4 linked regions of the Rhinolophus ferrumequinum genome follow. The protein of the gene in region 4 purifies or fractionates together with the protein of the main gene of each other region. This does not show direct contact. Links are inferred from orthologs where the notes say so. Each region holds a gene or a part of one and is shown on either strand. Other genes may lie near its edges.

Region 1 (7,237 bases), on a different chromosome or scaffold from region 4:
CCGTTGGAATGCCCCCCAAAGCCCCCCTGCCCACTCGGTTTTGACCCGACTCCCGGGCTCTGGGGACAGTCATTGGGCACTGAAGGGGTCTAGGACAAAACCAAGCCCCGCAGCCTCACGCCAGCGCTGCAGAAAATGCTGCAGCAAGGAAAGGATGAGCAGCATCTGGCGCTGGACCACTTGGTCTTCCAGTGAGCACGCCATACAAGGGACTTTCCTTCCCCAAGGCCCCTGCGTGGGGTGGCGTGGCTCACCCTCCCTGAGTCACGGGGGCTCCGCCCAGAACCCACAGGCCCCCGCCACTCCCGCTCCCCCTGGGCTCCAGCGCCTGGGGTTCCCCGGCCACACCCCAGCCGGCCGCCCCAGCAGCAGCGGGAAGGGGCCAGATCCTAAGGGCGAGCCCTTGGACAGTGCTGCTGCGAGGTCTTTGAGCGCGTGCGCCACACTAGGGAAGTGGCCCCGCAGAGCCCGGACCCTAGGCCAACCTTCAGGCCGATCCCCAGACCTCCTGCCCCAGGACGGCCTTTCTGCTCTGCTTGGCCCTGGCCTGTGCACCTGCATCCTCCCGTTCGCACCGCTTCCCCTCCTCCCTCCTCCACCCAGGAGGAAATGGGGCACTGGGCCAGGAGGCCGCCAGCACTCCAGGAGCAAGCAGCCTTGGCAGGGGCCGGCCCGTGCCAATGGGCACTGGCAGAGAGTGCCGTGTGATGCATGCAGAGACAGCGAGTGTCCGCCTGGGGTTGCCGTCCACCTGGGGCACTGGGGGTTTCCTCTCCAGTCTGAATGGCCCCTGAGCACAGCGTGACCCCAGGAGATGGCCAGGCGTGGTCCCTTCCAGACCCAGAGTGGCCTGCTCGGGGGTTCCAGTAAGACTTGGCAGGCTCTGAGCCCCTGGGTCTGGGTGGGCTGCAGTGCCTTAGCAGTGCAGAGTCCCTCCCCACCAGGACCGACCGGAGGGCCAGAGGACCGAGGGGGGCAAACCACAGAAGGCTGCCAAGGCCTGCTGAAAAACCTGGACTGTGTCCAGAGGGCAACAGGGAACTATTTGCTCAAAATTAATTTTCTGGTAGATAACTCTGGAGACAGTGGGGAGGCTGCTGTAGGGAACTGGAGACCAGCAAGAGGCCTGTTGGGGACACACTGACACCCTCCAACCAAGAGAAGCCAGCCTAACCATGGCTTCATCCCCAGAGTGGAATCACTCCTCCCAGTTCTGTGTACCCCCCCTCTCCAGGATGCTCCTTTCTTTAAGTCTCTGTCCCTCCTGCTTGATTCTTAGATTGAGCTGCAGACTAGTAGCAATTAAGTTATCATCTGCTAAAGACCAGTGGGACAGAAAGCCCTGGTTCAGCCAGCATGTCATGTCCAAATATGGCTGGTTGACTCGTGCATGACTCAGGGTCAGCATTACCCACGGTGGTCCCAGCTGGCATCTCCCCTGCCCTCCAGCACACTCGCTTCAGGCTGCCTGTCACCCCACTGGTTTTTCCTCACCAATGGTGGTGGTAGGGACTCCAAATAACACTTTCCAATCTGAGGCCCACCTGTGCACTCTCCCCTCTCCTGACCACTTTCAACCATACCTGCACAAAACCCCATACCACAGTGTCTAGGAACTGGGGTGGAGGTGGGAAGGAGAGCTGTGAAGGGGGAACCCGGATGGACCCCTCTCTGCCAGGCCCCATTCAAGACGGGCTGAGTGGTCCTTCTGCTCCCCCTGCCCGACTGGAAAGCATGTGTCCCAGGACAGCATTACATCAAGAATTGATTTTCTTTTTATAATACTAAGTGCCATCCCACTGGGTCATCGGTGTTCATTCCTTAATCTTCAGAGAGCAGGGAAACTGAGTCAGTAACTGACCAGTAGTCAACTCCAGCAGAAAGGGAGACAGAGCTGGGTGTCCTGGCTTCCAGCCCTCGGCTTCCCCTATTTGGGGGAGACAAGTGATAGGGGTGTAGAGGGCTCTTGTCCCTAGGGGACATAGTATTACCACCAGATGGCGCCCCATCCCAGAGCCCCCAGATCAGGCAGTCAATCCTTGGGAGCCTAAATCCAGCTCTTTCATATTTTCCCTTATTTGGAGTAGATTCTTGGATGTTAAACATACCCCGCCCCCCACCCCACAGCTGGCCCTCAGACCCCAGGCCAGACCCTCCCACAGGGGCACGTCAGCTGGTGAAGCAAGCCTCAAAATGGCACGGTGAGAAGAGACCTGGGCCGCCAAGGCAAGTCCAGGTGTGGCAGGTGAGGACACTCATTTCCTGAGCTCCCACCTTGACCTTGCAGCCTGGAGCACATGCACGTGGGCCTGCCAACAGACTTTGCCTACTTTTCCTGGAGCCGGGTAGCATGAGAATCTGGGCACATTGCAGCTCACATCCTGGCTGGTGGTGAACATCCAGCTCAGAGCCAACCTGGGACAGGGCCCAGGGCTCAGCCCAGGAATCTAGCCCGTCCAAGGAGACGCTGCTTCCTGTGCCTGGCCACAGCCCTGTCCTGGCCCCCATGGAGTAGAGCAGCCCCAGAACCAGCTCCCCTGTGCCCAAGGCAGCTGATGCCAAGGACTGGTGCCAGCGAAGAACCCAACACTGGCTGCAAAGTGTCCTTCCAGGTAGCCACTCACCCTCAGCCCACACTATGTCCTGCTCCAAAGACAGTCCTTCCCAGTCAGTCAGTGGCCAGCTCACGAGCATCCATGCGAGCCCATATCCTGCCAAAAGCTCAGACACCCTCTCTCAGGAATCCCCATGGCCTAGGGCTCCCACACTCCTGGGTACAGACACAGCTTCACAGGTACACTAGGGAAGGGAACCCCTGGACACAGCACTTCCAGGCGCAGGGGGCTCCTCCACTGCGCTCACGCACCCCAGCTGCACCTGGCTTGGGCCTGCGTGCCCGCCGGCGCCTACATTCTCGGGACTTCTCCGCTCGCCTTCGCCACCCCCGCCCCGGGTCCGCGAGTAGCGCGGTGACCGTCTCGCGCGGACCCGGGCCGCGGAGGCCTGCCTCACCTGCTGTCCCTGTGGGCGGCCCACAACCGCAGGGTGGCGCCCCGCTCGCCTTTGCGCCCGCGCCCGGCGCCTCTGGGCTCCGCTGGCGTCCGCTGCGCGCCGCGCGCCTCCACGCGAATGGGCCGCCGCTGCCCGCCTTCTTGTTGGCCGCACCCCCGCCCCGCGCCCGCCCCGCGCCCGCCCCGCGCCCTGCTGGGCGAAAAAGCCTTAATTGGTAAAATCGCCCAGTGGCCGGGGGGCGGGGGCGCGCCGTGAGCTCAGCGCCCCGGCTGCTTGGTGACGCTCCCCACCCCCCACCCCCCACCCCCGATGAGCTCACCACCCGGTGAAGGCTGCCGGGGTGATGGGGGGAGGTTGCCTCAAGTGCCCGTGGGGTCTGCAGGGCTCACGTCTCAACCCAGCTGGAAAGGCCACCTCCTCCAGGGAGCCACCCACAGTCACTGCCCCTACCTTTGCCCCAAGCCTGGGCTGGCCAGTCAAATCAGATTCTGCCCTCTGGGGTGGTGGGGACAACAGATCTTTGCAGGTGTGTTTCACTGAGCACTTACCACCCACAAGGCCCCAGTGGGGCAGGGACCTGAGTCCACGGTGATGAACAAGCAGCCTGGCTGCCACTGATTTGGCCCCTGCCTGGTGCCAGTCCAGGGAGGGGGCAGCAGAACAGTGGTGAATTCCTAGGCGCACAATCAGATGCAGTCCCAAAGCCTGAGAGTGTACAGTGAGGTGCAGCCAAAGAGCCAAGTGTTTGTGAGCCGGGTGGCACAGACATGCCCTGGCACTGCCAGGCTCCCTCTTCCTCTTCTGCCCATTTCCTGGTAGTTTCAGATTCAGCTCAAATGTCACTTCCGAAGAAGGCCACATAAAACATGTGCATGCGCACACACAAACACAAATAATTAAAACAAACATTTCACAAAACAAGACTCTCCCTTAGTACCTGCAAAGCTCTTTGATATTTTCCATTCTACTCCATTAAAAGAGAGGGCGAGGGAAGAAGGAAGGAAGGAAAGAAATAAAAATGGAAGGAAGAAGCTTGGTCACACCTGCTAAAAGAATTTGGCGATCTACAGTTTACCAGTAACAGGAAGGCGCTGATCACCCTCCAAGCTTCCCTACAGCCACTCCTGCCTTTGCTAGTGGTAGCTCTGCTTTGACCTTTCCACCTTGACCCATGGTGGGATCTCCTAGCAGTGTCCGGATTTCCAACTCTCACTGCTCCCTCTGGTGGGACCCGCCCACCACCACAGCTGAAGAGGATGGTGGGTTACCATCACTTGATAGAGGAGCGACCTGAGTTCAGGTCCATAAGGTGGCTGTGCTGGAGCTCATGGCCAAGGCTATCCTTCAAGGAGGGAAACCCACCTACCACAGGCATTGCCATGTGTACAAGAGCTGGGGGACACGAAGGAGGCGGGCCACGTGCCTGGATCTCAGGACGCCCCACCTCCATGTGAATCCTCTCTTCCCACTACTGCCTCTCTCGCCCTCCACACACACCCCTGAAATACACACAGCTCTTGGTCTCTCCTTCTTCCAGGTATAGGGGGAACGAAGGTTTGTACAGCACCAACTGTTCCCTGGTAATAACCGTCATAAATGAAAGACTTTTTCTCCTTGTGTTGAAGGTTTTGGAAAACCACTAGAATCAGCTCTATTGCTGCTGCCAAGGCAGGCTCACTCTCCAACTGGCTGTGCCAACGGCTCCCACATGAACCGATGCTTCTAGGGTTGGAACATGAGGCATTCTTTGAGAGACTTTAGGTCAGCTAACTATTCAGTGTTTTATGTTGATTGTGACAATCATCCACACATACATTTTCACAATAATCATCATCTTATGACTTTTGTTACTACCTGAGCAATGTTTCAAAGCATTCACATACCAGGTAAAATCCAAAGGATCTCTAACATCCTTGAAGAGAAGTTTAGTACTAAAGTATAAGAAGATTCTGATCTTACAGAAAACATTAATAACTCAGTGAACAATCATCTCCTTGGACATGGATGCTGAGAAATATATTCAGGTTGATATTCTTTTTCCTTATAACTTTCAATCTGGCTGGGATTGCAAGTTATACAATATAGTGCTTAGAAGCCATCCCCTCTGTCCTTAAAGGAGAAACTATCTTACTCTTGATTTGGAGTCGGCGGCTTCCTAGCCCTTTCCACCCTGGCTGCAGTACCACAGAAACTCAGCTTCTTTAACTCTGCCCACCCTTCCCAGGAAGACTCCCCTGGAGGCCTCAGATTTTCCCCAAAGCCCCGCTGAGGACTTGGAACCCCTGCTGTGCCAGACTGTCCAGATTATTGACCTGAGGATCCGGTACTGGCTGAGGGAACAGTCCATGAATGAATTGCAGTACTCAGGGCCCTTGGACAAGTATCCTCCCTCTCTGGCCCCCCAATTCCTCCTCTTCCTGATGGGGGTGCTGCAGAGGGACTCTCAGCTCTGATGGTCAAGGGTTCGTCCTGGTTCCTGGTGGTCTGGGATGGGTCTGTGCTGCAGCGGGGCTGGTCGTGGGTGCCAGGTAGCCATGGGGTGAACGCAGGGGACCATCACAGTTCAGCCTCCTGGTGCCATCGATGGTGGGACCTCATATTGGGACAACTGGCGTGGGACATAAAAAGCAGAGTGCCGAGGCAGGTGCCAGGGAGGGGGTGTTCCTTGGGGAGAAGGCAAACCTAGAATTCCTTGACCTCATAAGGAAACAGCTTAGATGTGTACAGGGAGGGGTGGCATGGGGGAGGACTGAGCCGCTGGGACATGGGCCAGCATTGCAGAAGAAGGCTTGGAGAGGTGCTGGGGAATCCGATCTTGCCAAAACTCAAAATTCCATGAGGCAGCCTCGAGTGGCCCAGACCCCAACGCCATTTCCCTCCCTGCTCTGAAGCCATGCATGCACGTGTCTGTGACCTACATACTTCCTCCTCATATTTTAGGGGACAGAGCAGACCTCACCTTTCCTCTAACAACCCAGACAACAGCAACTCTTCTGAGAGTCTTTGTGTGTTCCCAAACCACAGCCCCACCTCCTCACCACTCCCTGGATGGCTGCCTCTTCTCTACCCCATAATCAAACCTCCATGGAGAACTGGTCTGTGACCCTCACCAGCTGGCTCAGCCAGCCTGGGTCTGAACCAGAGCCCTCCTTACTTCTGCTTTCCCTGTCACCAGCTATCATCTATAAGACCAGGGACAGCACCTCATCTCCCCATTCTCCCAGTTCTGGGCCTGCCCAGGGAGGGGCATCTCAGCTGGCCACACACTCCATTGGCTGTCTTTGTTTACAACATGTCACCTCCTTTCCAATCTCCACTGGACAGCTCTTTACTGACCAAGGCCCTTACCAACTCCTAGTGACCGTCCAGGCTCTTCAGCAGGCCTTCGCAGCCTTCTGTGGTTTGCCCCCCTCGGTCCTCTGGCCCTCCGGTCGGTCCTGGTGGGGAGGGACTCTGCACTGCCAAGGCACTGCAGCCCACCCAGACCCAGGGGCTCAGAGCCTGCCAAGTCTTACTGGAACCCCCGAGCAGGCCACTCTGGGTCTGGAAGGGACCACGCCTGGCCATCTCCTGGGGTCACGCTGTGCTCAGGGGCCATTCAGACTGGAGAGGAAACCCCCAGTGCCCCAGGTGGACGGCAACCCCAGGCGGACACTCGCTGTCTCTGCATGCATCACACGGCACTCTCTGCCAGTGCCCATTGGCACGGGCCGGCCCCTGCCAAGGCTGCTTGCTCCTGGAGTGCTGGCGGCCTCCTGGCCCAGTGCCCCATTTCCTCCTGGGTGGAGCAGGTAGCGGGGGAAGCTGTGGGGACCGAGGGTGCAGGTGCACAGGCCAGGGCCAAGCAGAGCAGAAAGGCCGTCCTGAGGCAGGAGGTCTGAGGGTCGGCCTGAGGGTCGTCCTAGGTTCCGGGCTCTGCGGGGCCACTTCCCTAGTGTGGCGCACGCGCTCAAAGAGCTGGCAGCAGCGCCTGGCCAGGGACCCGCGCTGTCCAAGGGCTCGCCCTTAGGATCGGGCCCCTTCCCGCTGCTGCCGGGGCGGCCGGGGAACACCAAACGTTGGAGCCCTGGAGGTTGGGGGATGGGGGCTGTGGTGGCTTGAAGGGACCGGGCGGAGCCCACGTAACTTAAGGAGGGCGAGCCACTCCAAGCACCGCGGCCCCGCCCCGCTCCCACGTTCTGGCCGGTTCCTGCCAGTTCCACTCGCACGGCCGTGTCCCTCCTCG
Region 2 (7,374 bases), on a different chromosome or scaffold from region 4:
CACTTGGGATTGTATATGTATTTTTCCTTTATTAATTTTATCTGAAGGTACTGATGCATTAATTTAATTGCATAGTGATTATTTTGATCTTACATCACCAAAATACTTATTCTATTTATTCCAAAACATTTTGCAGGGTAAAGCCAAGTTTGTTTTTGGTTTATTTCTGTTCCAAGTGCTCCTAAATTCAACTTATAAATTAGCATAAACTTGATAAAGCAGGCAATAATCATGAATTATAAATGAAAATATAATTATTCTAGCACTATAAGCTACGTTGTATCACTAGACTTTAAAAACTGTACCAGTCACACAGTAGGCAGTTGTCTTCACTGTAGTGGGTGCTCACTGCTGATGAAATCACCCAAGTTTGGTGACAAAACATACACCAGGGGCCTGGGCAAAACTCTTAAAAGGCACCTAAACCTAAGCAGATCTCCAGATTTTCACCTATCTGGCCATGTTCAGTGGCTCTATTGTAGGTCGTAGGTTTGACTGGTTATGAGGATGAAACAAATAAATTATTGGAATCGGATGCATTTTCCTCCTCTAGGCTGCCTGAACGAGACTCTGGTCTAGTTGGGGGCTAGTGAGGAAGAGGAGCAGGACCAACATCTAGCACGTGATCATAAAAACTCACCTACTCTTCAACTTAAGGCCTGTCAGAGGAGTTAAAAGAAAAAAATCATCAACTTCTCAAATTGCTTATAATTTTAACCTAAAACGTGTAAGAGGCAAGCTGCTTTAGGGTAACAACTATTCCCATAAATTTTTAGAAATTAAATTTGAATATCTTGTTTAATATTTAATTGTAATCATACCTTTACAATTAAATATTGTAAAGGTATGATTAAATGAAATCAGATACCTCAATAAAATCAAGACTATGAAACAAAATATAGAATCTAAGTGGTTCCTAATTCTCTAAATTTTCAGAAATATCACAGCATTCCATATTATATCAGTGTTTCTTCATTTGAAGTCAATCATGTCTATACAAAATCCAAATATAATTTTAAAAAAAGAAATTAACACCAAATATATAAAATTTTGTTTGAACTAAATACACTTTTCATATTTATTCCATAGCAACTGATCTTTTGTCTTAAGGAACAAGATTCTTAAATTATAGATTGGAATAAGACCAATAATATACAATCAGCTTCCTAACATAGCTAAGTTGATGAAATAATAACATAAAAATGAGCTTAAGGTTAACATTCCTATTCTAACAGTATCACAAAACTCATTACAAAAATAGGGTTCATTACCCTTCGAAAAGGAGGAATCCATTAAAATATAGTTGGCTCAGATTTCTAAAAAGAATATCAGGCATATTCACAAAACAAAATGTTTTAAATTCAATTTTCAAATCTTTAAATTTACTTAGAGGTCAATTTGAGACTAATATCTTTTAAAAAGCACCTTTAATTGAATTTTAACTGTAAAAGTAATAACTGTTTATAGTTTCTTTAGTTTCAAGATAGTTTAACAATACATGTTTTGTTAAAAAACAAAAACCATTTTTCCAATAGTTTGGAAGAGTCATGAAGTCTTCATCTTCCCCCACTCCGTTATCCCTAGTCTCACAGATTACCACTATGCACATTTCTCACGTATCCCCCCAAAACTTACACATACAGGTTTGTGGACATATAAACATATTTATAGAGTTTATATGAAGAACACACACATAAATAGGATCATTTTTTAAACTTAACAATAAACTTAGATATGTTTCCATAGCAGTAAATGGGCCTCTTTTTTTTTTAATTTAAGTACTCCATTTTGTAAGGATGTCCCATTATATGATAACACTCATTACTCAAGTCCATTTGGGATAAACTAGTATAATTATTGCTTGTAAAAGTCTGTAACAAATTCAATCAGGGGAAGTATTATGGCAGTGAATATTAGCTCTCTCCCCCACAACACAGTTTCCAAAGTGTTTTAAAAGTTCAAGTAAAATCTATTTTAATTCATATATCACATTTATGAAAGGGAAAGAAAAGTCACAAATATGCAACTACAAAACGGTTAGGTATCACTGTAATAATATACGAGAAAATGATCACTATGGAACTCATCTAAAATAAGTAACAAAACTGATTAACTTCCCTCAAGGCCAATCAGTAGAATTAACATTTGGGCCTTGACGGGTCCTAGATGTCCCAAGATCATTCAATGTAACATGCTGGTCTCCGCGGGGCTGCACCTGGGCCAAAATCCCGGCATGCAGAACAAAAACTAAATGATGAGCAGTCGACCTGGCCTCTCTTTTCTTCAAAAAAAAAAAAAAAAAAAAAAAACACTCAAAACTGCCAAAGGGCTGAGGCTTGCACTGACAGCACTTCCCTTTTTTTCTTTAAACCCGTTTCCTGCCTCCCGTTCAGTATCTATACAGGAAGAGGAAGGCCTCTGGGTCTTTCCCCTTTTTATACACCGGCAATCCTGGGGAACGGAGCCCTTCTCGAACATACAAACTTAGTCTTTTACCCCTCCGACCCTTTAGCCAGATTGCCCCAGCAAGAAAGCGGAGCCCGTCCCCGCCGAGCAGCGGGCGAGATCCCCATCCAGTGCCGGCCTCGCCCGCCGCCCTAACCCGGAGGGCTGATGGGGATGGCAGGCTGGGGGAGACCAGGCCGGACCCTGCCGCTCGCTCCCCACGCCCGCGGAGGCGGAAAAGGGCTGCACCGAGCCCCTTGGCCCCGGTGGCCCGAAGGCCCAGGGGTGCAGCCCCCGGCGCCGAGGGCCCGCGCGTCCCCCGCACATCCCCACCCCGACCTATGGCCACCGCGGCTTCTTGCCCGCCGCTTACCCCCGTGCCGTTGTCGCACACCACCACCTTCCTGCCCTGGCTGTCCATCGTCCGCCCGGAAGAGAGCCGCCGCTGCTGCCGCCGCACAACCTACAGCCGCCGCCTACAGCCTCCGCCGCCCGGCCTTTTCCTCTTCCTCCTCCTCCCTCTTCTCAGCCCCTCCTTGGGCTCTGTTCTCTTCCCCAACCGGAAGTCGCCACCCGGCCCCGCCCCGCCCACGGCCTGCGCGACACAGGCGGGTAAGGGAGAGGAGACGGAGATTGGCAGCGGTGAGCCCAAATAAGAAGCGGAGGAGCTCCAAGTCCTGGCTCGCAGCTCCGGCTCCGGCTCCGGCTCCGGCCCCGCCCTCACGGTTGCTGCCTACTCGGGTGATGCTCTCTGCGTATGGTTTCCGGCGTTTAACGCAGCCGAGCTGGTGGGTGCTGCAGCTTTTTTCCAGAGTCGTCGCAGGAGTTGAGGACACTCTTACCTGGCTGCAGAAAGCGCAGGCAGGACAACGGGTCTGTCGCGAGATGGCAGTGGAATGTGGCGAAGAAGGCAGCCCGGAACGGGAGCAAACCTGGAGGTCCTTGCCAATCCCACTTATTGAAAATGGCTCTGTGTGCTCTCGATTCTAGGCCTTTTCAGCTGACAGAGCTGGAATGGATACACACACGTATTTGACATCATGCGGTCATAGATACTTCTAATTCCAGCCCAATCCTTCTTGGCTCAAATTGCCCTTAAATAAGAGTGGGTGCCTACATTTCCAGCCTCATCACACACCACCTACCCCTTCTCTCAGCACCATGTTGCTTTACACTTCTTCAGAATACATACCTACTTGAACCCAGAACCTTGGCTTTAAAATAAACCCCCGTTTCAAATCTGACCCTACCACTCAAGAGTTTTGTGATCTGGGCATCCCCTTATCTGTGCCTGCGGATAATATGGTTGTTGTGAGGATAAAATTATGTGTGTGGAGTAAGCATCCATTCAGTGGTAACTTTTGTCAACCAAACTCGCAAAAAGTCAGGAGACTTTGGCTATAAATGACAAAAAGTTGCTCAAGGTCTTAGGGTTTGCAAACTGAAAACACAACTAACTAGTTAATACCCAGAGTGTTCCAAAGGAGAAAGAAAAGGTGAGTTCTTACAGTAAAAAGTACATTCTTGAGAACAATCAGTCATGCATATTTAGCCTCTGGGTTGGTCTAGGATGATAATCTTCCACGTGTCTGGTGGTCTGGATAATGGAGCATTCTTTCCTGAGTTGTTCAGATGGTTATCTGTGGCAGTAATGTACATCCAGGCATTGACACACAACTGAGAAATTTAAAAGTTTAAGTCCTCAGGCTAGTTAAAGCAAGAATAGAAGCATTTCCTCATGCCTCAGATTACTTGATTCTCGTAATTTAGCAGCTTGACCATCATGACTCCATTTTATTTCTTCACTTTATTCCTCACTATGTTTCATACTTTCAAACATGTAGTTCTATCTTTAATGCCCCTATCTTTTTTCATTTTAATCAATGGGGAGACATCTACTCATGCTCTACGACCCAGTTGTCACATCTCTGAAGATTTTGCTGATAACCCTTAAGATGCTTTTTACTCCCTTTATTTACTATTACTTTACCATGGATATATGAATAACATTATTGTGTTTATTGCACTCAACAAATATTTATTGGATAGATGACATTAAAATTCATCTAAAAAAAATGCCATCGTTTTTCAGAGGTAAGAACTAAAACTGTGCTTTCCAAATGGCTGTACATGACTAGAATAAAACTTGGATCAAGAACCCCCCTCCCATCCAGTATTACAATACTAGGCTGCCTCTCAGTTTTAACTTTGTTCTTTCAAACCTTTATAAAGGCATAAAATGCTTTCTTCAAATTTAACTTTATATGGGATCCCAAAATATAAAATAGATCAAAGTACAGCTGCCATAGCTATAGTTGGAAGTTTGAAGGTTAGGATGGGTAGGAGAGGAGGCCTCAGGGGAATATGTCTTCCCTACACCAGTTTCATTGCGGTACCTCACCCTGCTGAACAGTGCATTAAGTTCATAAATTATACGTCTGACTTTTGTGGCCCCAGTGCCTAGCACTGTGCAGTTTTCCTGGGAGTACATTTAGTTGGTCTCAGCAAATTGAACTCATGCATTTCTATATATTTTTACTTTCTCTCTTTATGAAATTAAATGCATTACTAATTTTTACTTTTTAATAAATGGCTTCTGTTGTTTTCTTCTGACTATAAAAGCAATATACGCAGATGATAGAAAATATCAACAAACTACAGTAATGAAAATGTAGCAAAACTTTTGATTATGCAAATTTAGGTGTAATACTATTGGTGACTGTCTCTGACCTTCTAGACCAAGTGCATTCTGGTCATGTCACTTTCCTCAAAATAATGTGATCCCACATTTTAAGCGATTGAATTTTTTTTTTTTTTTGAGGAGGGCTTCATTTCTAGCCTTCTGTTCAGATTTTATGTAAACTATTCCACACAAAAATATTGCTAGGCAAATATTGCCATTTTACACATGAGAATATGGGGGCTTTAAAAAATTAAGTCTGGAATGAGAGACGTCATCAAAATGGCGGCATGAGGTGAGCCTCTATAAATCTCCCCTGGAATTTACAACTAATCGAACAACTATTACTCCACAAAGGACTCCCTGCATAGCAGACAGGCAGGACGAAGAGGCCCACTACTGAATTCACCTAAGGGTGGGCGAATCTCATGAGCTGGGGAGGAGAAAAGGGAGAAGTGTGGAGATGGAGCTGGATGGGCACAGGACGCAGACCTAACTCAGTCTTCCAAGCTCGCTGCATCCTGGAACTGCCGCGGCTGCGGGAGAGGGAAGAACTCGGACTGCTAGGGCTCTGCTTATGGCCCACAGGGCTGAGGGGGCAGCATATAACATGGCTGAACCCAATGCTCACGGCAGAGACCTCGGAGCAAAGACTGAGGGAAGAAGGCTGAAAACGGTGGCTTAAGCCCTCACTGCCGAGCAGAGAACAGAAGCCTTAGGCACTAAGACTAGCCGCCCCCCTCCCTACCCTTCCAAAGTTCACCCTGCCCCCACCTGCCCAATGCTAGAAGCGGTATAGTAGCAATGTCAGATCAAAAGAACAGAATAGTACCTGAAATCTATGTAATTTTACTAACAGTTGTCACCCCCATAAATTAAAAAAAAAAAAAAGAACAGAATATTTGCTGTTCTGAGAACTGTGGACCGCAGAAACAGATTCGCAGCCCAACTAGTTCCGGCAAAGGGGAGGGAGCAGTGGAAGCAGGACCGGCTGTGTGGTGTTCGCCGCCATTCTCTGGGCCACCTCTCACAACTCACCCCGCCCCTGAACGCACCTATCTGGGCAGATGCCTGCAGGAGTAAACAGAACTGCTGAAACATACGGGCTCTGAATCTGGTGCAAGAAGAGCTTTGGAACTTCAAAAGTTCTCCGCATACCCACACGGACACTGTGCCCTGTGACCCAGGCGAACTATTAACAGAGGAGAAGCCCATCTCCCAGGGAATCCCCCCATTGTGTGAGAAGCTGGAATAGTGCAGAGAAAACATAGCACTACCATGTGAGAGAGAAAAAAAGGCTGCAGTTGGAGAGAAAATAAAATTCTATCAACTAGTACTGGAAAACAAAAGAAAGACCTCGTCCTATCAACCTGTTGCAGAAGCCACTCCTGTACATGTCTAGGAAGAGAAATAATAAATCAATAATTGTCATGAATAACCAAGGTAACAAGACAGCTCAGAAAGAAAGTCGAAAGTCTCCAGAAAAGGAACTTAAAGATATGGAAATATGTGATTTAAATGACAGAGAATTCAAGATTGCAGTTCTGAAAAAACTCAACGAGATGCAAGAAAACACAGAAAGGTAGTTTAATGAACTCAGAAACACAATCAAAGAACAACATGAGTATTTTATGAAAGATATTGAAATTTTAAAAAAGGACCAAACAGAATTTCTGGAGATTAAGAACTCAATAGAAGAAATTAAGAATGAAATAGCCAGCTTAGGTAGTATAGTTGACCAGATGGAGGAAAGAATCAGTGACATCGAAGATAGAAACCTGGAAATTACACAGATGGAAGAAGAGACTTGAGACTTAAAAGAAATGAAAGAACTCTACAAGAACTTTCTGACTCCATTAGAAAGAGCAATATAAGAATAATGGGCATACCAGAAGGAGAAGAAAGAGAGAAGGGAACAGAGAATATATTCAAACAAATTGTCAATGAGAACTTGCCAAACTTGTGGACAGAACTGGATCCTCGAATCCAAGAAGCAAATAGAACACCTAATTACCTCAATCCCAACAGGCCTTCTCCAAGGCACATTATATGGAAGCTGTCTAAAATCAAGGACAAAGAAAGAATCCTCAAGGAAGCCAGGGAAAAGAAGACGGTAACCTACAAAGGAAAGTCCATTAGATTATCATCAGATTTTTCAGCAGGAACGCTACAAGCCAGGAGTGAGTGGAACCAAATATTCAAACTATTGAAAGAGAGAAATTATGAGCCAAGAATAATATGCCCAGCAA
Region 3 (7,453 bases), on a different chromosome or scaffold from region 4:
AACTAAGATTGAAAAAATGCAACGGACTTGGAGCTGAGCTGCGCCCTCCACAAGTAGATTGAAGGACAAGGACTTGGAGCTGAGGGGCCCTGGAGAAACACATTGTTCCCCAATATTCTCCAATTAAAAAAATTTTTTTTAAAAAGTCAATCTAATCCCACTCCTGCGCCTACAGTCACCAATGCTTCTCTTTGTACTGGTGGGGGGACCCTCCCGAACATGACCTGGAACCCCACTGTGTGACCTGGCCCCTGCCTCCCTCTGAAACCTCACCTTGTGCCTTCTGCCCATCGCTCCCTTACACTCGAACCCCCCGATTTCCCTTACTCCCAGGAACACATCAAGCTCTTTTGTGCAGAGGATTTTGCACATTCTGATTCCCCTGCCTGAGGCCCTCCCCTGCAACCTCTCCGCCCAGCTGGTTCCTTCTGAACTCTTCAGTCTCAGAGAGGCCTTTCCCTAGCAAAGCTAGGACTACCCCCAGCGCCACCCCACTTCACTTGGTCATGATTTTGATCCCTTGTGTGTTTTCCTTGATAGTAAGAATCACAACCTTCATTGGTCAGAAGTTACCTGCTTCTTTGTTTTTGCCTAGTTCCTGGGTCCATGAGGGTGGGGCCTGGACTATCTCATTCCTTGGTGCTTCCCACAGTGCTTAGCATGGAGCAGGTGCTCAACCCAGGTTTGCTGAAGTGACTAATTAAAAGAGAAAAGTGTGAGGCTGACACTAAAAGATGAGGCTGGAAATAGAAAGCCTTGGACACAGAGTCCTATTCATCTTTGCAGGATTGGCACCTCCACAGAGAAGCCACTTAGCAAACGTGTACTGGATGAATGAAAGCATGACTCAGATGAATCTGAAAAGTGCCCTCCTTTTCTGGGCGAGGCTGCCAAAGGAGTTCCTCTCTTCCTTGGGACTTCTCAGGAGGGAACATGTCTGGGGTATACAACAAGTGCTCAGTAAATGTTAGCTGTCGTTGTCATTACTTTTTACATGGGGATCATTCATGCATCCCATAGAAAAGGCTTGTTCTGGGTCCCATGCCAGACATAGTGGCTGGGAGAGAAGTGAGAGAATGAAACACGGGAGGGAAAAACAAGAATGAGTGTCAAGATCCGTCAAACATCACTGAGAACTTGGAGGAAAAATGCAAGAACAGCACTGTTCCAAGTAATATGGTTCCCTTCTTTCTTCTAGACTTGAGCCACCTGGATGCAGTGTGGAAATGCCAGCTGGGAGGTGGTCCTCCTGAGGAGCTGAGGGAGGGCCCCATTTGAATGCACACATTAGTTTGAGGCCTGCAAAGCTCCGACTGATTTTGAGAATCTGGCTCACTGTAGCTGGTAAGCACTGGGGAGGTGGAGAGAATTTCAATTTCCTTCACCAAATGGCAAGCTTGCGAAAAAGTCCTTTCCAACATGATCACATACTAAAAATGAAAAACCAGCCATTCGAAGCTCTCATAAGAAGGAAAATAGATGGGCTGCTTAGCTCACAAGATACAGGAGGGCTGAAAATCAAGTCTGGAGAACATCACACGGCACATTATGTGCTAAGATGCTGCCCTTTTTTTGGACTCGGAAGTTTCTATTTTTCACAAAAGAATGGGAGGGAGAAAAGTAATTCTCTATGTAATAAGCCACCCATTTTATATTCCAAATCCTTTCAGTGGCTGAACAGCAGCAAGGGTTAGGAAATTTATTTTAACTTTCTATCTCTAAATATGCAATTGGAGGTAACTGCATATCTCAAAAATAGCAGCAATAACAGATAGACAGAACCAGAGAAGGCACTAAAATAGGGATGCTTAAAATGCAAAGAAGACATATTTCCCTATGTTTCATGGCTGACAGACCATAAGCTGACATAGTGAGGGGAGCACTGAATCCGGGGTCTGAAGGCTGGCCAAGTGACCTTGGGTAAGTCCTGCCCCTCTCCCAGCCTCATTTGTACAAGAAGGGACTGAAACAGGTGTTCCCAAAGATCCTTTTTCTTTCTAAACTGTTACTATTTGAGGCTCCAAAAGAGCTGCATCTTCTTGCTTTTACATTGGCCCTCCAATTGCAAAATGGAAAGCCTTGGGGTAAAGGTTGCAATAGAGATAAAACTGGCCCCACTACTGAATTATGTTTTATAGTCCCAACGTGCCTCAGCACTGCAGCCTTGCTGTCATTCCAGAATCAATTATGCCAAGACACCATAACGGAGTCTATGGGAAAAGTGAGAGAAAGTTCTTGTTCTTTCTGATTAGTGCAGGTAAAGCTGGGGTCACGTTAACGAAAGTCTGGACTAGCTCTTCCATCCCCTGCCTAGTGGAAAAATAAATTATTAAAGGAAACCCCTCAGGACTGCCCAGAACTCTCGGGATGTATGAAACCGCACGCAGAATACCAGACGCCGGCGAGTTTCTTTTTTTCTTTTTAACTTCATGTCGCTCTCAGAAAATGCAGCAGGTCTCAAAACGGTACAAGCGTTAACCCATAAGCCACTTCCCAGTCTTCCCGGAGCAAACACCAAGCCGGAGTGGGAATCTTTTTTTTGTTCCCCTCTTTCCTTTCATTTGCTTTTAAGCAAGTGGCCTGGGGCCTGCAGGGGCAGCGCCCCGTCCAGGCCGGGGCCGGCGGCCTTCCAGGAACGGCGGGGAACTTTCCTCTCGCCGCGCCAGGGAGACAATGCCAGCGCCCGCGCTCCGCGCAAGGAGGGCGCCCCATCGTTTGGGGCCAGGCCACTCGGAGCGCTGTCCCAGGCCCCTCTCCGGAGGGCATGCGGAGTCCCCACCCCGCCCCACCTGGGCGCCTCCTCGTGGGATCAGACTCCCGGGGCCCTGCTGAGCCGGGGGCCCGCGCCCTCCCCGCGGACAGGGACACTCCACTGCGAACGGAGCCGGGAGGCCCGCCCAGCTCACGGCTCCGGCGCCTCTGCGCGAGGGGCCCGGGCCGGGGACGCCGACGACCCAGAGAGATCCCGCCGAGCCTGTCCCGAGCTCCGCGACTCACCGGGATCGGGCGGGCCGCTGGGCATTATTCCATCGCGGAGTTCGGCGCCAGCTCCCCGGCGACGGCGCAGACGCCGCGCCGGGCTCCTTCAGCCCGGCGATCGCGGCTCTCGGAACGGAACGCGGGGCGAGGCCGGGAGCTGCGGGCGGGGCGGGGGGCGCGGGCCGGCGTGCCCGAGCGCTGAGTGCCCGCCCGCGGCGGCGGCGGCGGCGGCGGAGGCCAGGCGAGGCGCGGGAGGCGAGCGCGGCGCAGGAAGGGGCGGGCGACCATGTGCCGAGGGGAGGAGGGCCGCAGCGACGCGCGCGGCTCGGACGATCCCGCTCCGCGGCGGAGGGCGCGGGTTTCAGGAAATCCAAACACTTCGACAGGAAATCGGAATCCTGACTAAGCATTCCGTCCGGCCGCTGCTCCGCGCCGGGGGGCTCCCGCCTCGCTTAACCCTTGGCCGGCCGGCACGCAGGCGGGGGGACAGGCGGGGTCTCCGACACCCGGCGGGGGCTCGGGCGGGGGCTCCGCGGGGGCCCCGCGGACTCCGTGAGCAAGCTGGGCCGGGGTCCGGGCGCCCTTCCCCTTCCGACCTACTCCCCCTCCGGCCTGCCTGCTCCTTGCCCAGAGGTGTAAGCGGCGGGATTTGTCCGGGATAAATCCTTGACCTTGGGAGGTGCCTTTCTAAGGCCCCCAACTTTAGGAAAGGGCCTTTGCCTCTCTCCCATCCAGTAGAGGATGAACTTGCATGCTTCCAAGCCGTTTCCCGCATTTTCAATAAAAGAAATGAGTTTACCTGGCTGCCCCCTTTCACTGCTAACGCTCTGCTCATTTCCTCAAAATTTGCCCAGTGCCAGGGGCCAGGAATTTTCTGGTCAGAGTAGTATAGGATAGGACAGTGATTCAAGTTGGAATCTGGCTTTGGCCTTTTTCTAGCTATTACCTTGGGTAAGTCACTTAACTTCTCCGAAGTCTATACTTCCTCATGTGACATGGGTAGTAATAACCACCCTCGTGGTTTCATTTGGAAACCCAAAGTTTAGGCAGGGACTGACATATTGTACATGCTCAAGTAAATGATAGCCGTGATTGTCCTTATTCCTGTAAGTGACATCAGAGAAAGGAGGGTTTTAACACGTGGAGTGTGTACCCTGCACATCTATGCCTACTTAGAAAGCCTTAGAACTTCATTTCCCTCCTAATCACCAAGTGATTATTTTTCTTTGCAGCATTTCAGAAACTGCTCTCTGCAGAGGAAACGGTTTAGTGGCTATGGCAGACCCTGTCCTGGAGAAATCTGAACTCAGCAAACCTCACAGAACTGAGAATTTTGCTCTTAACCTAAGAGTCAGGACACTATGGGGGTTTGTAAAAAAGTCTGGAGAGACTTTACAGAGTTTGAGAAAACCAAAGTAAACCTCTGTCCAGTCAGGCCTGGACTAGGCGGCCAATGGGAGTGATTCATTGTGGTTTCCCACAGAAATGCCACATTTGGGGTTTTTTTTACCTGGAGGATGCAGCATGGTGGTTTTGCTGTAAGTATTCAAATTCCTTTGAAACCCAATCAGACTTTGAAGCGGGAACAACATGCCCATGAGTGAAAACCAAAGCTTGAAATGAACCTGCTGAGAACCCAAAGGTAGGTATCAGCTCCCTCTATTCAAGAACCAGACATCAGTTTTAGACCCAGTCTTGTCTCTTTTTCTGCAACTCTTTCTCAGGGGCCAGAAGTGGCGGGACAAGCTCAGGACTTGGCAACAGGAGTCCAGGGTCCTGCCCAGGCCCTTTGCAGCAGCTTTTCCCCCAGCCTAGAAGAATCTCTGCTTGGCTGTTACTGGCATTCAGCTCACAGCTCAAAAGCCAGCTGATCAAATGGTTCCCCAGCCATTTGATCTATTTGCCTTTGGCAGCTATACTTCCTTCCCCAGCTCTCCCGCACGTCACATGCCCTGTTTCATAGCTTCATAGCCCTTGTCACTATTAATGTGTTCCTGTTGATCTGGTTGCCTATTTATCATGTCTCCCTATTTATCATGTCTCCCCCTGCATGGGAAAACTCCATCAGAGTGTCTCCATCACTCCTGGATCCCAGTGCCAAAGACAGTGCTGGCTCATAGGAAACTCTCAGTAAAGCCATGTCAAGTGAATGACAGAGGTGAACGAGATGCAGGTTGCAGGTTCACTCAGCCCCTTAGCTCCCTGTATCTTCTGCTTTGGCAGAGAGGCTCTCAAATGGGAAAGCCCAGTGTAATGGAAGGAGCACCAAACGGCTCTATTAGTGGTTCTGGAAAGTGGAAACTACAAGTAATTAAGACTGTCAGACGACTTAACTACAGTCTCATTGGTACAGCCCCAGTTAATTGCTCCCTCCTTTGTGCTCCCCCAGCACTTCTGCTCATTTAAAGAACCTATGTATCGCATTATATGCTTCATGGGTGAGTGTTCTCCTAAGATGGTGAACTCTTTGAGCGGCAGGGGAAGGAAAGGAGCCTACATTTATTGACCACTTACTCTCAGCGGGGCCCTGGGCAAGGTGGATTTGAATTCATGAAAAGGCCGTGGTTAAGTGCCTATATGTGCTCAGAAACCTTCTGGGCACTAATTGGCAAAGCTAAACTGGCTTTGCTCTCTAAGGGAAGACAGACAAGAAGAGAGACAGCAGAGAGGGGCTGCTAATTCGGACTGAGGTCTGTCCGGGGCGTCATGGGGCTGCTCGGAGCATGGGGAGCTTTCCGAAATCAGCACTGTGGGGCGTGTCTTGGTCCGTTCGTGCTGCTGTAACAGAATACCCTAGACTGAGGGACTTCTAAACAACACACACTTATTTCTCTCAGGTCTGGAAGCACGGAAGTCCGAGATAGGTGTGGCCAGATTTGGTGTCTGGTGAGGACGCTAGTTCACAGATGGCCATCTTCTCACTGTGTCCTCACATGGTAGAAGGGGTGAGGGCAAGGGTGCTCCCCAGGGTCCCATAAAGGCACTAACCCCATTCACGAGGGCTCCACCCTCATGACCTCATCCCCTTTCAAAGGCCCCACCTCCTAATACCATCACTTTGGGGAGTAGGATCTTAACACATAATAGGGGGCGGGGGCACAAACATAGCAGGAGCTTAGAAACCACAGCCAAGAAATGGATGCCCTTGAACTAAGTTTCGAGGAAGAAGTGGGGCTTAGCTAGCTAGATGAGGGGGCAGAGGCCTGCCAGTCGGAGCAAAAAGCGCCATGTGCTGGTGAAGCTCAGCTCTGTGTCCCCTGCACCCTCCTCTGAGCTCACCTGCAGCTGCGATTTGTGTTATCTGATCAAGGAACTGTCTACCTGAAGTGCACACCTCTCATCCTCTCTGCCTGGGAACTTTCTCCAGGGCTATGGGACCGTGCCCACACTGCAAGTGCCCAGCAGCTCTGGGGCAGCCCCCAAACACTCAGTGGATAAATGTCCCCACCTCCCATCCCTATGGGGGAACAGTTCTAAAGTGTTTCCGACAGTTTCTCTGAGATCCCCAGTGGCACTGAGTCCAGCCGCCCCTAGCAGCAATGCTTTCCTTAACCCCCTCTGCTTTTCCTCTCTTCCCTGCTTCACTTTCCCACTCCCTTATTTGTTCTTCCTGGGATCAATCACCTCCCAAATAACCTAACTGCACCCACTTCCTTTCCTCAAGATTTCCTTCTGGAGAAATCCAATCCAGGATATCATTCACTCATTTATCCACAGATATTGACCAAGCACCCCTAAGTGCCTGAGCTAAGACCGAGCATGACAACATAATATGTTTGGGTAACGCTACGAGGTTCAGCATGATGTGAGAAAATGGTGTATGATTAGATGTGGAAAGCGATGAGACTAAAAAGCTTTGTACCATTTTACAGTTGAGGAAACTGAGGCATGGGAGTGTTGAGTCACTGGCCCAAGGCCAAACATTGCATAGAGGAGCTTTATGCATTGGAGTCCAGGCCCTTAATCACCACCCTGCTGCCTTTCTTGGGAGTCAAAGCTATGGGTGCAGGCTGCCAGTGAACCCCCATAGGGAATGTGGAGAGTGAGAAGGTACCAGGATCAGGACTGGACCCTGAGGGATAGCATAGGTAGCAGAGGAAGAGGTGCCTACAAAGAAGGCTGGAGGGAGTGGTCAGCGAAGGGGAGTGGAGGGAAAACCTGGATCAAGGGACGAAACTGCTTCTACAGGGAAGGGATGGCCAACACACTCTAATGCCCCCAGAAAATTCAATCAAATAAGGATTGGAAAGCAGGTGTCATTTTATCTGACAGGAAGCTGATAACTTTTGCCGGAGCTGTTTCAATGGAGTGGAGGGATTGGAAGCCAGATTGCAGTGGGCTGACGAGTGGGAGACAGCAAGTGTAGACAACTCTCTTCAGACACGTGGCCATCTAGCTAGTGGGAGGTAAGGGTGGGGGGTTCTTTAAAGAGGGTGGGCGAGTGAGCATCTGCGGTTGATGTCAGGTCCCAGGA
Region 4 (7,491 bases):
TAGTCCGTGGTCTTCTGATACCCAGTGGGCATAGGGCAAGTCTGTAGTGCGGCTGATTAATCGTTATTCTTTTGCAAACCATCTGTCTTTACATTCTGGTAGCTTTTATGACTTTCCTGGAGAGTTTGCAGTTTTACTATCACGTTTCTAGGTGTATTTTCATGTTTATTATAAATATCACCCTTTGAATTGGAGAGCATTTTTGGTGTGAATGCTCTCATCTTTCTTGGATTACAGAAATTTCTCACCTATCATTTCCCCAGCTATCACTTCTCCATTCTATCATTCTCTGCTCTTGGAACTCTGTTCAATACAGATTATAGTCTCTCAATCTTCCATGTGAAGTACATGCTGTGTCTTATTATTTTTTTTTATTGCTTTGAATCTGTTTTTTATTCTGTGCTATCCCTTGGTAATAGCTTCCAAATCACCAATTTTCTCCTTAACCATGTAAATCTAGAGTTAACATACTCTATCGAGTTTTTCATTTCAATAACCATATTTCCCACATTGTATTAGTCGGCTCAGGCTGCTGTAACAAAATGCCACAGGCTGGGTGGCTGAAACAATGGGAATTTATTTCCCACGATTCTGGAGGCTAACTCGAAGGTGCCGGCCGATTAGGTTCCCTCGTGAGGGGCTCCATTCCAGGCTTGCAGACGGCCACTTTCCTGCGGTGACTTCACATGGAGACAGGAAGCAAGTTCTCGGTGTCTCTTACAAGGGTACAAATCTCAGCATGGAGGCCACACCCTCATGACCTCATCTAAACCTAGTTACCTCCCAACGGCCCCACTTCCAAATACCATCACACTGAAGACTAGCGCTTCCACATATGAATCTGAGTGGGGGACACAATCGAGTCTGTAGCACCTGAGTGAGATTTTACATAAGTTTTCGTAACTGCCTGTTTTTGTTTATTAGTTTTGACTATTTTGTAAATGTTCCTTGTCAAAACATTGATATTTTTAAATCATACCCATATTGTGCTACAACATGAAATTCAACTTTAATAATTCACATTCTCATTGTTCATTGTATTGGTTTTCTCGTTTAATGTTAGTTCTTAGAATTTGCTTTGGAATTTATATTGTAGGCTCATTTTAAGTGGAAAGTATTCTGTTTTGCGTTTTCTCTTCTTCCCTCTGGGTGTGTGATGGGCCCTGTCTCCTGTCTCCAGGAAGCCTCAATGATCTCCCATTGGACCAAGTTGGAGCACGTGCCCATCCCTGAGCCAATCAACGCTAGAGGAGTACAATGTGCTGATTGGTTGAGGCCTGGGTCGTGGGCAGCACCTTGGAGACTAGAGGAGGCTCCCTCCACAAGTTGTACCTGGAGGTAGGGGACCCTGGGGGCCGAACTGAGGTATCCACAATTTCCCAAGTGAAAGAGGGTGTTCTGAATAATTGATCCCAGGCCACAGGTGTGGGTCACAACAGGTCTCACCCGCGTGCTGTGTGGCTTCAAGTAGGGCATCCAGCCTCTCTGATCTCCATCGTCTCAAGTAAAATGGACATATCTTGCCAGGCTTGCCAGGGCTTTCTCTTCCTATTATTGCCAGCTAAAGGCCAACACTCACTGGGCATTTCTGCATGCCAGGCCCTGTGCTAACCAAACGACATGTGGTCTTCATATTACAACTCCAGGATGCAGGTGCTAGCTGCACAAATAGCGAAACTGAAGCAGGGAAAGGCAGTGAGACTGTCCACTGTCGCACAGCTAGTAGGCGGTGGAGCTGGGGTTTTCAGGCAGGTGCTCAGCCTCCAGAGCCTTTGTGCACAGCACCTGTTCCTGTCTTCAGGCAGTGACTAAAGCGCTCCATGAAAGTTGTCACTGAAAGCGAGTCTTGCCTTTTGCTTGGCTGCACACACCACTGCACTGCCGGTAATAATGATGGATGTGAAAATGCTTAAGTTCTTTCTGTCTGACCTTGTGCCCCCGTGCACACCCCATTCTTTGCCACCTCTGTGCCTTTGCTTGAATTTCTCCCTCCCCCTGGGAGCCCCGTCCTACCTTTTATGTCCTAACCCTACTTACTCTTAACGCCCCAGCTGAAAAGCTTTCTCTCCAGCATCACTTCGAGGACCACACCTTGATGTGTCACAGGCCCATCAACGTACCGAGTCCAAAACTGTATTCTCACTCTCTCCCCTCAATCTTATTGCGTCGCCCCCTGCCCCTAATTTTCCTTGTCTGAGAATTGACTCAGATGCTAGGAGTCATCCTTGCGTAAGGAAAAATTTCAGACTTTACAATGGTAAAAGTGATTTTTGGACATTCCTTCGAAAATGCTGGAGCCTCTGACAACCAGCTGATTCTATAGAATGCCTGCCTTTTTTTTCAGTCTAGACGATCTCATACCTCTGTAGAGGAAACAGTCAACCTGTAGAAAACAGACAGCAATGCAAATAATTCTTGTCCACAGACATGCAAATTAGCCGGGTCTAGTGAAATACAATGGACTATTGCCGTATGGGTAGACCAGTTTTTGCAAATTCTTTTCAGCATTTCTTTGACTTCCTTTGAAAAAGTTGTAACACCTTATTGCTTCACTCATTATTACGAGGTCTGCTAATGAAGTTCGTGAACTCATCCTAGAAAAACTGTTACATACCTCATTGCTGAATATCACTGTGGTCACCTTCGAAGGACTCCCCTTGGGAAGCTATGCACCAACGCCAGCAACTAGTCCATCCTTCAAAGCAATTTTGGAACTCTTTTTCTGCAATGGCCATCAGAGCTGTTGTATTACCCTTGATGCCCTGAATGTCATCAAACTGTATTCCTTTCAATATTTCCATTATCTTTGCATAAAGAAAGAAGTCATCATATCAGGTGAGTAGGGAGGGTGTTCCAATACAGTCATTTGTTTACTGGCTAAAAACTCCCTCACAGACAGTGCCATGTGAGCTGGTGCATTGTCGTGATGCAAGAGCCATGAATTGTTGGTGAAAAGTTCAGGTCGTCTAACTTTTTCATGCAGCCTTTTCAGCACTTCCAAATAGGAAACTTGGTTAACTGTCTAGTTAAATTAATAATGAATAATCTCTCTGATATAAAAGAGGTTAGCAACATCATTGCAACAAGTTTGCGAACTTGTCAGACCTCATAAATCTTTGACGTGTTCATTTTATATGTGTATGAAAATTGTGACTTTATATTTAAAAAAAAAATTATCCTTTGACACCTGACAGCTCCTTCCCCACTCCAAACCCCCAATCCATTCTCAAGTGTAACAATTTAACTTTTTATTTTATTTTTTTACTTTTTATTTTTTTGCTTTTCATTTTTAAGCAGTGACCTTTATTTATTTTATTTAGTTAATTAATTTATTTATTAACTTTTTAAATGTCTCCTGTGTCTACTCCCTTCTCTCCATCTTACCTTCTCCCAAAAGTTTGCCTGAAGTGGTTGTACTAGGCTCCTCCTACCTGGCCCTCTTCCCAACCATTCCCGGCTCAGCAGCCAGAGGAATCTTATTACAATACACACTTGATGATCTCTCTCCTCTACTTAACTTCCTCCAAGGACTTCCTATGTCTTTAAAAACAAAAGCCAGTGCTCACATGGCACTGTCTGTGAGGGAGTTTGCTGTGCCCTGCCAACCCCTACATGACCCGGCCCCGTCGCGCTGCACTGCCCTGCTTCGTCTCCACAGTTCCATTACACCGACCTTCCTTCAGTTCCTCTGCGGCAAGACGTTTCCTGCCTGGAAAATTCTTCTCTTCTTACTACGTTCATTCCCATTTGGCCTTTAGATGTTGACGCAAATGTTCATTTAATTGCTCAAAGAAACCTTCTCTGATCTCCAGGAGGAGTTCAGGTCCTACCTTCTCTTCAGTATAATTTCATGACATCCTAGACTTCTTCATAGCATTTATCTTGTTTCCTAATTATACATCTATGCGATTAATGCCTTAGTTCTCTTCTAGGCTGCAAGGGCCGTGAGGAAAAGGCCCATTTTGTTCTGCTGACCTTCTATCCCTAACACATACCTGGCCTTTTTTGGATGGACGGATGCATGGATGATTAATGGATGCATGTGTGGGTGATGGATGGAGGGGGGATGGATGGATGGATGGATGTGTGGGTGACGGATGGAAGGACGTGTGGAGGAGGATGAAGTCACCTGTGAGGGAGTCCGCAGGGCTCTAGGCACTTGCGTTGACCCTACGCTTGGCTCACTTTCCCTTTTTCACCCAGGGCAGTGCTGGAATACCACCTCGATTGTCTGCACGCGACGGGAGCTCTGTACATTTACCCTGCAGAAATGAGCACTTTGTTTTAAAGCATGCTTTGCAGGCTCGCACCAGGCGGGTTCGCGCTTGCGCTAGCGGTGGCCGTGCCACGTGGCCCAGGGAGGCGGCAGGGAGCCGCGCCGCCAGGAAGCTCGGGCCCGACAGCTGCGGCGGCTGCCGCGCAGTCACCAGGGCTCCCGCGGCTGCGGACCCGAGGCCGGGAGGGGCGTGCCGGGCGGGGGCGGAGCCTCGCCGGGACCCGGATGCGGCCGCGGCCCCGCCCCCGCCCGCGGAACCGGAAGTGCAGCCCGAGCTGGGGAGCGGCGGGCGTAGCGAAGCCAGGGCCGAGCCGGGCCGGACCGACCCCAGGTGGCGGTAAGCGAGTGCGGCTTCCGCCGGGCGAGGAGGGCCGGTTCCTTTATTGTGGTCCCGGGCGCCGCCAGGCCCCGAAACGGGAAGGAAGCGGCGGCCGCCGCGGTCTCGCCGCTCTTCCGCTCGCGGTTTCGGGCGCGGGGGGAGCGCGGGCGAGGCTTCCCCGAGCCGCGGGCGGGGACTGTGGGAACGGGGCTGGGGGCTCGGGGAGGGGGGCGGGGGGCTCGGAAGGAGACGGGGGGCTGGGGAACCGGGCTGGGGGCTGGGGAAGGGGGCGGGGGGCTCAGAGAAGGGGGCTGGGGGCTGGGGGCTCGGGGAAGGGCGCTGGGGGCTGGGGAAAAGGGCTGGGGGCTCAGAGAAGGGGGCTGGGGGCTCGAAAGGGGCCGGGGGGCTCAGGGAAGGGGGCTGGGGTCGGAGGGAAGGAGCGGGGTTCCGAGGGAAGGGGCCGGGGTCGGAGGGAGGGGGCCGGGGTCCGAAGGAAGGGGGCGGGTCTGCTGGAGGAAGCGGGGAGGAGAGGGGTCAGATGGGAAGAGGTTTAGTGTCCAAGGGGGAAGAGGCCGGAGGTCTGAGAGGGTGGAGGTAGGGGCCGGGCCCACGGGGCGGGGGACGCGGCCCAGCACCCGGGGTTAGGGGAAAGGTGTGGAAAGCCGAGGGGGAAGGTGCTGGGGCTCCTAAGGGTCGGTTTCGGATCCAGTGGGACTGGCGACGGAGGGGTCGCTGTCCGCCTGGGAGGGGCCACACCTACAGGCAGGTTTTGCAATCAGGTCAATGGAAATGCATGGACACGCGGAGCTGCAGCGCGTTGTGCGGCTCTAAATTTGGAACAGCCCCTGCACTGGGTGTGTTGGAAGTCACCAGAAAGGTGCTTTTGGTGTTTCTGTTGTGTTTCTGTCGCCTGAATATTCCAATGGGAGCTTGCTCTCCTGCTGGAGCGTCTCAGGTGAAGAGGGGACAGGCTTCCTCCCAGTGGAATCTGAGGGCCTGTCGGCCTCACGGGGGAACTCCGTCTTCCTCTGGTCACAGCTCTGGAGCTGCTGGGAATGATTGCTGGCTCCTGGGTGACGCATTTGGGCTGTGAGTTCACTTGCTCCCTCCCCGCCCTCCGGCTTTGTCAGGGGGCTAGATCCAGCTGGATCCAGAGCTCGTGATCCAGCGTAGTAGCCAGGCTCGCCTAGGGCTGGAAGGGCTGTGGGTCCCGCTCCTACCCCCATTCCTGTGTTAGACCGCGGTGAGTCACCGCGCACTGAGGCAGTCCTGGGGAGGAACCTGCCCCCACACACTCTGGGAGCAAGGAAGCGCCCCAAAGGCGACTTTCAGACCCCAGCAGAAAGAGCCAGGGTCGCGCAGAGTGGTTTTTTGATGCTCTCCCCCAGTAACTGAAGTTTACCCCCCACGAAAGCTGACTTAGTTGAAGCATTTTGCTGAACTTACCTTTAAATCACTTTGAAGTCAGGGGAATTGGTGAGTCAGACCTTTGGTCCAGGCTGTGTGCAGTACCCTGTTTCCCTGAAAATAAGACCTAGCCAGACAACCAGCTCTAATGCGTCTTTGTAAGACCGGGTCTTAAATTAAGTTTTGCTCCATTAGAGCTGGTTGTCTGGCTAGGGCTTACTTTCGGGGAAACACGGTAGGTGCTCAGAGTGCACGGCTGCGTGAGTCACTGAGCTGAGCGCTGGGACTGCCTGCCTGGTGTTGCGACAGCCTTGTCCTGGGCCGGTCTGGAGCTGGGAAGTGCCTGTCAGAGGCCCTGCCTCTCAGTTGTCAGGGTGCAGGCAGGTACTTGGAGTGAACTGAGCGGGGCGCAGGGAGGGGTTTCCTCTGAGTGACTGGCGTAGGGAATGGCCTCGTGCTCTGTGGCTGTTGGTTTTCTGCTACACCAGATAGTGGGCTCAATGGAAAGCCAGTTCTGCACTTAACGCACTGCTGGTTGGAGGCCTTTTTCACTCTGTTTATGTGGAAGTGCAAGATCACTTCCCACTTGGGCAGCTTGATTTGTACGGGTGACGTTTGCAAGGAAGGTTTACTGCCAGTGCACTATTAATGGCAGCTAGGGGTCTTATCTTTTTTTCATTTAAAGTATTGAGAGGGTAATAAGTGATTTTAGGTTTGAGCCTATCACTAGTGGCTCTTGGGTAGTTTTATAGATGCTGATTACAGTGCGGACGACCGTACCCAGACTGTACTGAGCAACCTGCACAAGTGAGAGCTTCTGAGGGGCGCACAGGAAGGGCCAACAGAGCTCCCTCCCTCCAGTTCCGAATTCCTGACAAGCTGCTGCTGACCTAAGGGGCTCCAGCCTGTGACTGGCGTGTCCCAGGAACAAGGGGATTTGAATCGTCTGCTGTGCACTGTCTACCAGTACGGCCTCCAGGCGAGGCCGGGGTGTAGGCCTATGGGAGAGGCCGTGCGTTAGTGGCTTGGGGAGCTTGTGGCGTAGGGCGCTGGCGTCTTGATCTCATGCGGTAATCGCCTCCGCCCCTAACCCCCCCCACACACACACATTATGACCCCTTCATGGAGTCTTTTCCTTACATTGTTTTTTTTTTAAAACTCACAGTAATAGAATTTTATTATTTTTAGCAATGTCATGAATTAGAATGAACTAAAAATGGAAACTTACCGGGATGATAGCAAACAGGAAATGTCTGTGCCACCAATTCAGGGAATAATTTCTGTTTGCGTTAAGAAGACACTTCATACGGTTGTAAAACTTTGAAACTTCTGATTTTCTGTAGTCTCTCAATGTGTCTGAAAAGCGGTTGAGCTTTTTGGTGAGTAAAATGCCAATTGCTCATCCTCCTCTCAGACTTCTTTATAAAACCTGGTTGTTTGGGAAGATTTCAGAGGTATTCTAAAGGGATCTCCACACATAAGGATTTGC

The links.
Region 1: the proteins of CTTN (region 4) and FLNA purify together in Homo sapiens (affinity purification with mass spectrometry; 3 studies listed by BioGRID and IntAct, with this or other methods). This does not show direct contact. The link is inferred for Rhinolophus ferrumequinum from reciprocal best matches to the Homo sapiens genes CTTN and FLNA.
Region 2: the proteins of CTTN (region 4) and ACTR2 purify together in Homo sapiens (affinity purification with mass spectrometry; 3 studies listed by BioGRID and IntAct, with this or other methods). This does not show direct contact. The link is inferred for Rhinolophus ferrumequinum from reciprocal best matches to the Homo sapiens genes CTTN and ACTR2.
Region 3: the proteins of CTTN (region 4) and ASAP1 purify together in Homo sapiens (affinity purification with western blotting; 6 studies listed by BioGRID and IntAct, with this or other methods). This does not show direct contact. The link is inferred for Rhinolophus ferrumequinum from reciprocal best matches to the Homo sapiens genes CTTN and ASAP1.

Annotation. Positions count from the first base shown.
Region 1 is NC_046284.1:6,248,978-6,256,214, reverse strand, and holds the start of FLNA (filamin-A), read right to left. Parts: upstream 3,156-7,237; 5' UTR 3,013-3,155; intron 1-3,012. UniProt on the Homo sapiens protein: Promotes orthogonal branching of actin filaments and links actin filaments to membrane glycoproteins. Anchors various transmembrane proteins to the actin cytoskeleton and serves as a scaffold for a wide range of cytoplasmic signaling proteins.
Region 2 is NC_046296.1:24,869,848-24,877,221, forward strand, and holds the start of ACTR2 (actin-related protein 2), read right to left. Parts: upstream 3,002-7,374; 5' UTR 2,867-3,001; coding exon 2,819-2,866; intron 1-2,818. UniProt on the Homo sapiens protein: ATP-binding component of the Arp2/3 complex, a multiprotein complex that mediates actin polymerization upon stimulation by nucleation-promoting factor (NPF).
Region 3 is NC_046297.1:65,564,283-65,571,735, forward strand, and holds the start of ASAP1 (arf-GAP with SH3 domain, ANK repeat and PH domain-containing protein 1), read right to left. Parts: upstream 3,176-7,453; 5' UTR 2,998-3,175; intron 1-2,997. UniProt on the Homo sapiens protein: Possesses phosphatidylinositol 4,5-bisphosphate-dependent GTPase-activating protein activity for ARF1 (ADP ribosylation factor 1) and ARF5 and a lesser activity towards ARF6.
Region 4 is NC_046294.1:2,980,892-2,988,382, reverse strand, and holds the start of CTTN (src substrate cortactin), read left to right. Parts: upstream 1-4,468; 5' UTR 4,469-4,613; intron 4,614-7,491.